2 linked regions of the Caenorhabditis elegans genome follow. The protein of the gene in region 2 purifies or fractionates together with the protein of the main gene of each other region. This does not show direct contact. Each region holds a gene or a part of one and is shown on either strand. Other genes may lie near its edges.

Region 1 (3,925 bases), on a different chromosome or scaffold from region 2:
AACATACATACATCATAACAATAAACGTTTCATTTTTTGTATTTTTTACGGGAAAAATAAGTGTTGAGAACTTTTTTATAAAATTGAATATTTTGAAAATGAATTAAATTTTTATTTACACTTTAATTTTGAATCAAGTTTTTATATGAAAACGGCATTTTCCTGAAGCTGAGTTTTCATAAAATGTTATTTTTTAATGTGAAAAGAGAGATATAAAAGCGTTTACTTTACTATGAAACAAAGTTTGAGAGCACATCAAAAATGCACAAATCCTATGTTCATATTACTTTATCATCATCAAAACACCGTTTCAAAATTTTAATATCTTATCGCCACACTGTAGTTACTGAACAAATAAATACAACTCGGTATGTTCATGTTTTTAACGCTCATGTTTCCCGTGACATGATACGACTGTGCATTTTATCTTATCAATGAACTGCCAACATGTAAAACATCACAAGCAAGCACCGGTCAGGTTTCAAACATTAATTGTAGTCTAGATCATGATTTAAATCAGGGCGGAAATCTAATAAACAAGGCAGTTGAACTCAATCCCGGCACTTCACCAACATATGGCCTAGGGAATGTAACTTTAATTTTTTACAAGGAAACGGTTAAAATTTGCTATTTGAAATATGCTAGAAATGTGGAATAAATTATTAAACTACTCTGACTGTGGAAAATTTTAAAATATGACAAGAACTGTGTTTCTCTCGTTCAAACTTTTTATACACGTGAGCGGAAAAATCGCTTACAATACAGACTGAAAAACAAAAAGCAAACAAAATAATTGGAATTGTAATTTGATAATTCTTTATGAAACAACTTTTCACAAAATTTTTAACAAACTTTATTTCTAAACTCTAATATTATTTTTGAAAACACGTTTCAGAAGTTCACTGATCTATTTAAAGTTTTGAAAATATTTCTTTAAGAATTTAGAGGTTTCCAAAAAAAAAAAACACTCCGGAATAAACAACTTAGATTGTATATATTTTTTGTATATAATTCATAAAACTTGAACTGCTATTCAAGCTGACAATTTTAATACTGAATGTTTCTAGATTTTTAAGGTCAAACTGAGACACCAATCAACAGGTTGGAAGGTCGTCAAGAAAGAGAGCAAAAAAGAATAAACAATGACGCACACTGTATGTGCCGGGTGGCAAAGAACAGTTGAACAGTACAACTGGCAACAATAAACTATTTTTAAAAGACATTTCTCTACCTCTTTGAAGCATTTTTTAAATTTGTTACAGAACAATGTTCAGCATATTTTTAAAATGGGAACAGCCAACATTTCTATTTCACATTCTTTTTAAAAATTCATTCTTTTTAAAAAACTGTATTCGTAATGTTTCATCCAACGTAATGTCTGGTTATAAAATTAATACACGTTTTAAAAACAATATTGTGTATCATTTAAAATTCAGAAAGTACCTTATTATTTAAAATTTCATGCTTGCATCTAGTCATTCTTGTCTAATTACAAAAACATTCACACTCTTATTTCCGTATTTTGTAGTATGAAAAACTAAAAAAAATTCAAACTGTGTATTCAGGTTGAATGACTATTCGGAAACACACTGGTTACGAAATTAATTTTAAAAATTCTAAGGTTCTCACTTTCAGATCTTAACGTCTACAAAAATGAATAAAAAATTGTCAACCATACCTCATCTGTCCTATTTGTAAGCTTCTTGTGATTTCTCAAATATAACTTAGCGAAAAATAGTATTTGGCAGTTGAACGGAAAGAAGGAAATGGTTGAAACAACTCCGCGTCACCACCGCCACCACCGGATTTGTTTGCTCATCGGTGAGAGGAAGAGAACGAAAAGATAGAAAGTAGGAAAAGACTTTGCTAATATTCTTGTAGTCACCAACCACAAGTGCCTTTTTTCAATGCTATGCCGATTCTCTTGTCCCATTTCGCTTTTTAGCTCTTCACAATATGTCGTCGTTTCTACGGCACTGAATATGAGCCAAAGTGTATTACTATTGCTTTTAATACTCACTTTACACTGAAATGGGCTTAAAAGTTAAAATTTTTCCAAAAGGAAAAAAAAAACTTGACCAAAAACTACTGTGCAAAAAGTGACTTGCTGGAAGAAATGTCTTTTAATTTGTGGGATATGTGTTTCACAATGTATAATGGTGAATTGTCCATAGGTATTATTTGAAAAGATTACATTTTTTTATTTATTCAAGATCTACACGATGGACTGTACTCCAATAATCTGTCTGATAGTGTTGAAGAACATAAAATTTGAGTTGGTAAGGGTTTCTTAGAAACTTTTCTCCTATTAATTTTTTTAATGAAACCCTAAAACGAAACGTATCTATTTGTACAAAACATTTTCAAAATTGACTTGGTTGTTTGCTGGATACGGTATTATCTCTATTAGTCTTGAACCCTACGGACCAAAGGAGAAATTGTCTTGCATATTACTAATTCATATTGCAAAACACGATATTGCATTTTTCTGTAGCTGTAACTCTGTCTTGCTACATTAACCGAAAAATACTTTAATTGGTACCGTAATTTTAGAATTCATCCTTTTAGAAAAAATGCTACATAGTTTAAATTGCAAGTGATATGTTCCACTAATATCGGCATCATATTCACAAATTCCAATAATCTAATTTTTTAGTTAAAGCCGCCCTAGAAAACATTTAAGACCAAAGTCACAGTTATGAATTGTCTATGTGTTTTCAAATTAAAAACAAATAGAATTTTGAATATAGCGAATCTGGACACTCAAAACAAAAAAAGACCCTCCACCAAAATCTGAAAAGGAACTCACCTATACTGCCTTAAACTTACCAATTCTTCCAAATCCACTTTTTCATGGGCATCATATTTTTTGTAAAATTGTCCATTGTTTCTGAAAAAGAGCCAAATTAAATTAAAACAAAAAATTCATAATTATAAATTGAACGTTCAGGTGTGATCAGATCATTTTGGTCTTAAAATTCCTTTCAGGGAGAACGCGGCAACTTCTTTTAAGTGAGAAGATGGATAGTGGGCGGTAATGATGATGTCATTCGGTGAAAAACCGTTTTGTCTTATGTTTAGGTTCATCACGGAACCTACCAGTGAAAGCAAAAGTAAGTAGGTGGGATCTGTGGTTTGTCAGTTGATTGGAAATAATCAAGTTGCAAAACAGAACAGAAAAAGAAGATTGGTTAAAATGAATAATGAACTAGTCTTAATTGAACATGGAATGTTTATCAACTTTTCAACTTTTTAAATTTTAAGTCTTTATACTTTTAAAAATAACCTACATCATTATGGTCAGATCAAAAGTCGCCAGTCTACAAAAATAATTGGAAGTGATTGTTGAAAATACAGTGGACTTAACTAATAAAGATACGACAAAAACAGAAAATGATAATGCATTTTGTTATTGAGGCGGCAAAAGGGACACTTTAAAACAGCAAAAAACCAATCTGCAAGTTGAACTATTTCCTAGATAATTATTCTGGTTTTTGAGACGAAATTTTCAATAAATTGGAACAAAACTTGATTTCAATTATTCATGAACCTACCAAAATAGATTTCGTTTGAAAGGATTTTACTAAAGTTTTCGGGAACATGATTAAAAAATTTATTTATTTTTTTGGAAAAAAGACACGTTTGTTTGGGAAATTAAAAATAATTAGAAAACATTACAAATCAACTACAGTGCGTGCATGTTCTATATGCCACCCCCTAAATTTTCGGTTATGGCAGTTTCTGTGTAATTTGGTAAGCAAAGGGTATTGAAATCGGATTCACAATGGTGAAAAACCTATACTCCAAAACTTTTGTGATGATATCTCAAAAATTACGGAAAATAGGTCAAAAAATCGAAAAATTGGCCGTGCAACTTCTATATGCCACCCCCAGATTTTTTGATGATTTCTTACAATTTAAGACA
Region 2 (3,925 bases):
AGTACGCAAACACTAGTCATTGCGTACTTCGCTGACTACAGTACTCCAACGGAATTTTTTTCAGATATTTGGCAGAAAAACTTCAAAAATTGACGAAAAATGGCTTAAAAAGGAACGAAAATGACAATAAAATTAAGAATTTCTGCCGAATGTGCACTAAAAGACTTGGAAATTTATTGATTTTCACTATTTCATATTGAAAAACCTGAATATATTAAAAATCGTCAGAAATGTGTTGGAAATCTGAAAAATTCCCAAAATGCTGGATTTGCCTTGTAAAAATATGTTTTTTTTTAATTGAAAAACTTTCCGAAAACTGAATTTTTACAATTATTACTAGAAAATCCCAAAAAAGTGGGTTTTTTTTTGCAAAAAAAAATGAAATTTTAATAATTTTTAATCGTTTATCTACTTTTTGAATAAATTTTGATCTTTTTAATGCAAATTTTGGCTGATATTCCATAAAACCAGTAAAAAATTCACATTTTTCACTATTTTTCCGTTAATTTTATGGAAAATCGTCAATTTTAGGAAGAAAATACATGAAAATCATCCGAAAAGGTTAATATTTTAATAGAAATGTTCAATTTTTATTATTTTCTCTGAAAAAACGGTTTATAATCGAGAAAAAGACGAAATTCGCTAAATTTTTCCGCTCGTCGAATAAAATGCCAAGTACGCAAGTGTGCCCCGATATTGCGTACTTTGCCGCCTACAGTACCCAATTTTTTATACAAAGTCTAAGTTTTTCGGCTAAATTTCAGGCCTAAAAATTCAAATACGAAGAATTTTAGCTAAAGTTACAATTAACAAAAAATACCCTTGCTGAAAAACACGATTTTGAAAAAAGAGCTTTTGGTGTTGTCGAATTCCCTCTAAAATCTATTTTCAAACCCTCAACTTTTGCTCGTATACTTTGCCTGAACCATGACTCAATGATACCCTTATCAACCCAAAAACTGCCCGTTTTCTGTACGTACAAACCTTAAAAATTGAAGTTCACGTGAATCTGAACACCCTAATAGTGGGCGGAGTTGCTCAATGTCGGCGAAATTTCCAAGTGCTGATTGTGCACATTTTGTTCTATAAATTGCGGGGGGTACCCCAACACAAATTGCGAAATTTCGTTGTCTTATCACTTGACTTTTCAATCTTATCAGTTTTTTTAAATCGATAGGTACACGGAGGCTAATGGTGTAGTCTAGTAGTCTAGTGACACGTATAAAAACCACAGGGTCTTAGTCATTTGTCTCATTTTCAAAATATAGTTTTGTTTTGAAAAATAATTTTGTTTTTTGCATTTTTAGCGTGACTTTCTACATTTTAAAGTTGAAAATTTGAGTTTCTCGCCTAGAAAAACCTATTAGCCAGTCCAGGGAGTCGAACCCCTGACCTTCTGAGCCATACCCAACCTTCTAACCTACTGCGCCACGTTACCGCCACTCGAGGGCGCTCACGCCTTGCAAGGTGGCGCAGTGGCTAAGAGGCTAGGCTATGGCGCAGAAGGTCCCGGGTTCGACTCCCTGGAAGGGTATATAGATTTTCCTAGACAAGAAATTCAATATTTTCACTTTTGAATTTGGAAAATCAACCATTTTTCGAGGTTGCGGAAATTTAGTGACATTTGTTGCAACTTTTCGTTTTCTTGAACTAATTTTGATTGGATACTGAATTACTCACCTGTAAAAACCTACATGGGTCTGCCGGGGTCGAACCCCTGACCTTCGGCGTCATAGCCAAGCCTCTTATCCCCTGCGCCACCTGTGAGCGCGCGCCACTTGGCAGCGTGGCGCAGTGGCTAGAAGGATAGATTACGGCGCAGAAGGCCAGGGGTTCGATTCCCCGACATTGAATATATGTTTTTCAAGGTGAGAAATTTAGAAATTTTACTTTACAAGTTCAAAAATGTATGGTTTTTCTGATTTTTTCAATCTCCTCCGAATTTCGTTCGAATTTCCATTTAAAGGTACAATTTCCAGCATGCTAAACTACCAAATTCACAAAAAGCTCACCGACATCAAGTGGGTGAACATCTTCTCCCCATGGGATCGCCAGCGTGCCTACTTCGCCTTGGTCGTCTGGTTCGGGCTCATCTACCCATTCTGCTGCCTGTGCCAGGTGGCTCCGTTTGTGCTCTTTTTCACCGGCCAGTGGATTATTTTGGGTCTCTACGCAGTTTGGTACCTTTACGATCGAGAATCTCCGAGAAGAGGAGGATATCGGGATAATTGGTTCAGAAATTTGTCGCTGCACAAGTGGTTCGCCGAGTATTTTCCTGTTAAACTTCACAAAACTGCGGAGTTGGATCCAAACCAAAATTATTTATTCGGATATCATCCTCATGGAATTCTCGGTGTCGGAGCGTGGTCTTGTTTTGGATTTGATGCGTGCAATGTGAAGCAAGTGGTGAGTTGAGACACAAAAATTTGAAAATTTCACATAGAAAAACCTATAAACAGTGGCGGGGATCGAACCTCTGGCCTTCTGCGTCATAGCCAGATCTGTTAGCCACTGCGCCACTACTGACTCGGCGCCTCAGTTCGACCTCAACAACAGGCGGCGAGAATGGCGCAGTGGGTAAGCGGATTGGGCTTTGGCTCAGAAGGTCAGGGGTTCGACCCCCAGGACATGCCTATAGGTTTTTCTAGGTGAAACGCTCGAATTTTTACTTTAAAAATCTCCAAATCGACCTAGAAATGACTTTTTTTCCATTGTTACCTTCAAAATATTAAGTTTTTCCAGTTCAAAGGCATCCGCTTCAACATCTGCACCTTGCCCGGCAACTTCACCGCAATGTTCCGCCGCGAGATCCTCCTCAGCATCGGTATGATCGAGAGCTCCAAAGAATCCATCGAGCACGTGCTCAACTCCGAGGAAAAGGGCCGTGCCGTTGTAATTGTCGTGGGTGGAGCCGCTGAAGCTCTTGAAGCTCACCCAGGGAAGCATACTCTAACACTGGCAAATCGCAAAGGTTTCGTGAGAGAAGCCGTGAAGACCGGAGCTCATCTGGTGCCAGTTTATGCGTTTGGAGAGAATGACATATATAAGCAAATTGACAACCCGGAAGGCTCGAAATTACGGAAAATTCAAGAATGGGGAAAGAAGAAAATGGGAATTTCACTGCCACTAATCTACGGAAGAGGATATTTTCAAATGGCTCTTGGGCTTCTTCCAATGAGCCGAGCTGTGAATGTAGTTGTCGGAGCGCCTATTCAAGTGGAAAAAGAGCTCGATCCTTCTAAGGAAGTCATTGATGAAATTCATGGAGTTTATATGGAAAAGCTCGCCGAGTTATTTGAAGAGCACAAGGCAAAGTTCGGAGTTTCCAAGGACACTCGGCTCGTTTTTCAGTGAAATAACTTTTATTTTAGATTATTTGTTTGATGTTTGATGTCTGTTATGTTATCATTTTTTATCACCAAATCGTGTAATTTTGTTTACGGGTTCATTACTGAATTATTGAGAAAATGAATATTTATTCTTTTTTTTTCACTCCACAATTGATAAGCTCCGTTTTTGAGTTGGCTCCACTTGGAAAATCTTTACATCAGAGTGTTGAATGGTTGCCGGGGGGCTTGGTGCTTTGAAAAATCCGGCTATAGACCAAGCGATGAGTACTGCGGAGAGAAATGAGTACCATTCGGTGATGACCAAGGCATACTGGAAGAAAAAACATAGTTTCAGGCTGTTTTAAGGGGGTTGAAAGTTGAAAATTCGAATTTCTCACCTAGAAAAACCTATATATGGTGTCGTGGGTTTGAACCCCTGACCTTCTGAGTCGAAGGCAGGCCTCTTAGCCACTGCGCCAAGGAGCACACTGCAGTCGGCAAGAAATTTGGGCGCCGCCGCGCAGATAGCCTAGTGGATAAGAGGCTTGACTACGACTTGGGAGGCCAAGGGTTCGACCCCCAGATAGTGCTTATAG

Evidence for each region.
Region 1: the proteins of dgat-2 (region 2) and acs-22 purify together in Caenorhabditis elegans (affinity purification with western blotting, with the first as the bait; one study listed by BioGRID). This does not show direct contact.

The regions. Positions count from the first base shown.
Region 1 is NC_003284.9:8,929,077-8,933,001, reverse strand, and holds the start of acs-22 (Very long-chain fatty acid transport protein), read right to left. Parts: upstream 1,824-3,925; 5' UTR 1,684-1,823; coding exon 1,679-1,683; intron 1-1,678.
Region 2 is NC_003283.11:17,658,324-17,662,248, forward strand, and holds dgat-2 (Acyltransferase), read left to right. Parts: upstream 1-1,979; 5' UTR 1,980-1,980; coding exon 1,981-2,406; intron 2,407-2,454; exon of another isoform or gene 2,455-2,526; intron 2,527-2,559; exon of another isoform or gene 2,560-2,633; intron 2,634-2,742; coding exon 2,743-3,354; 3' UTR 3,355-3,487; downstream 3,488-3,925. Other genes in the region: F59A1.11 (Serpentine Receptor, class T), read right to left, coding at 3,490-3,660.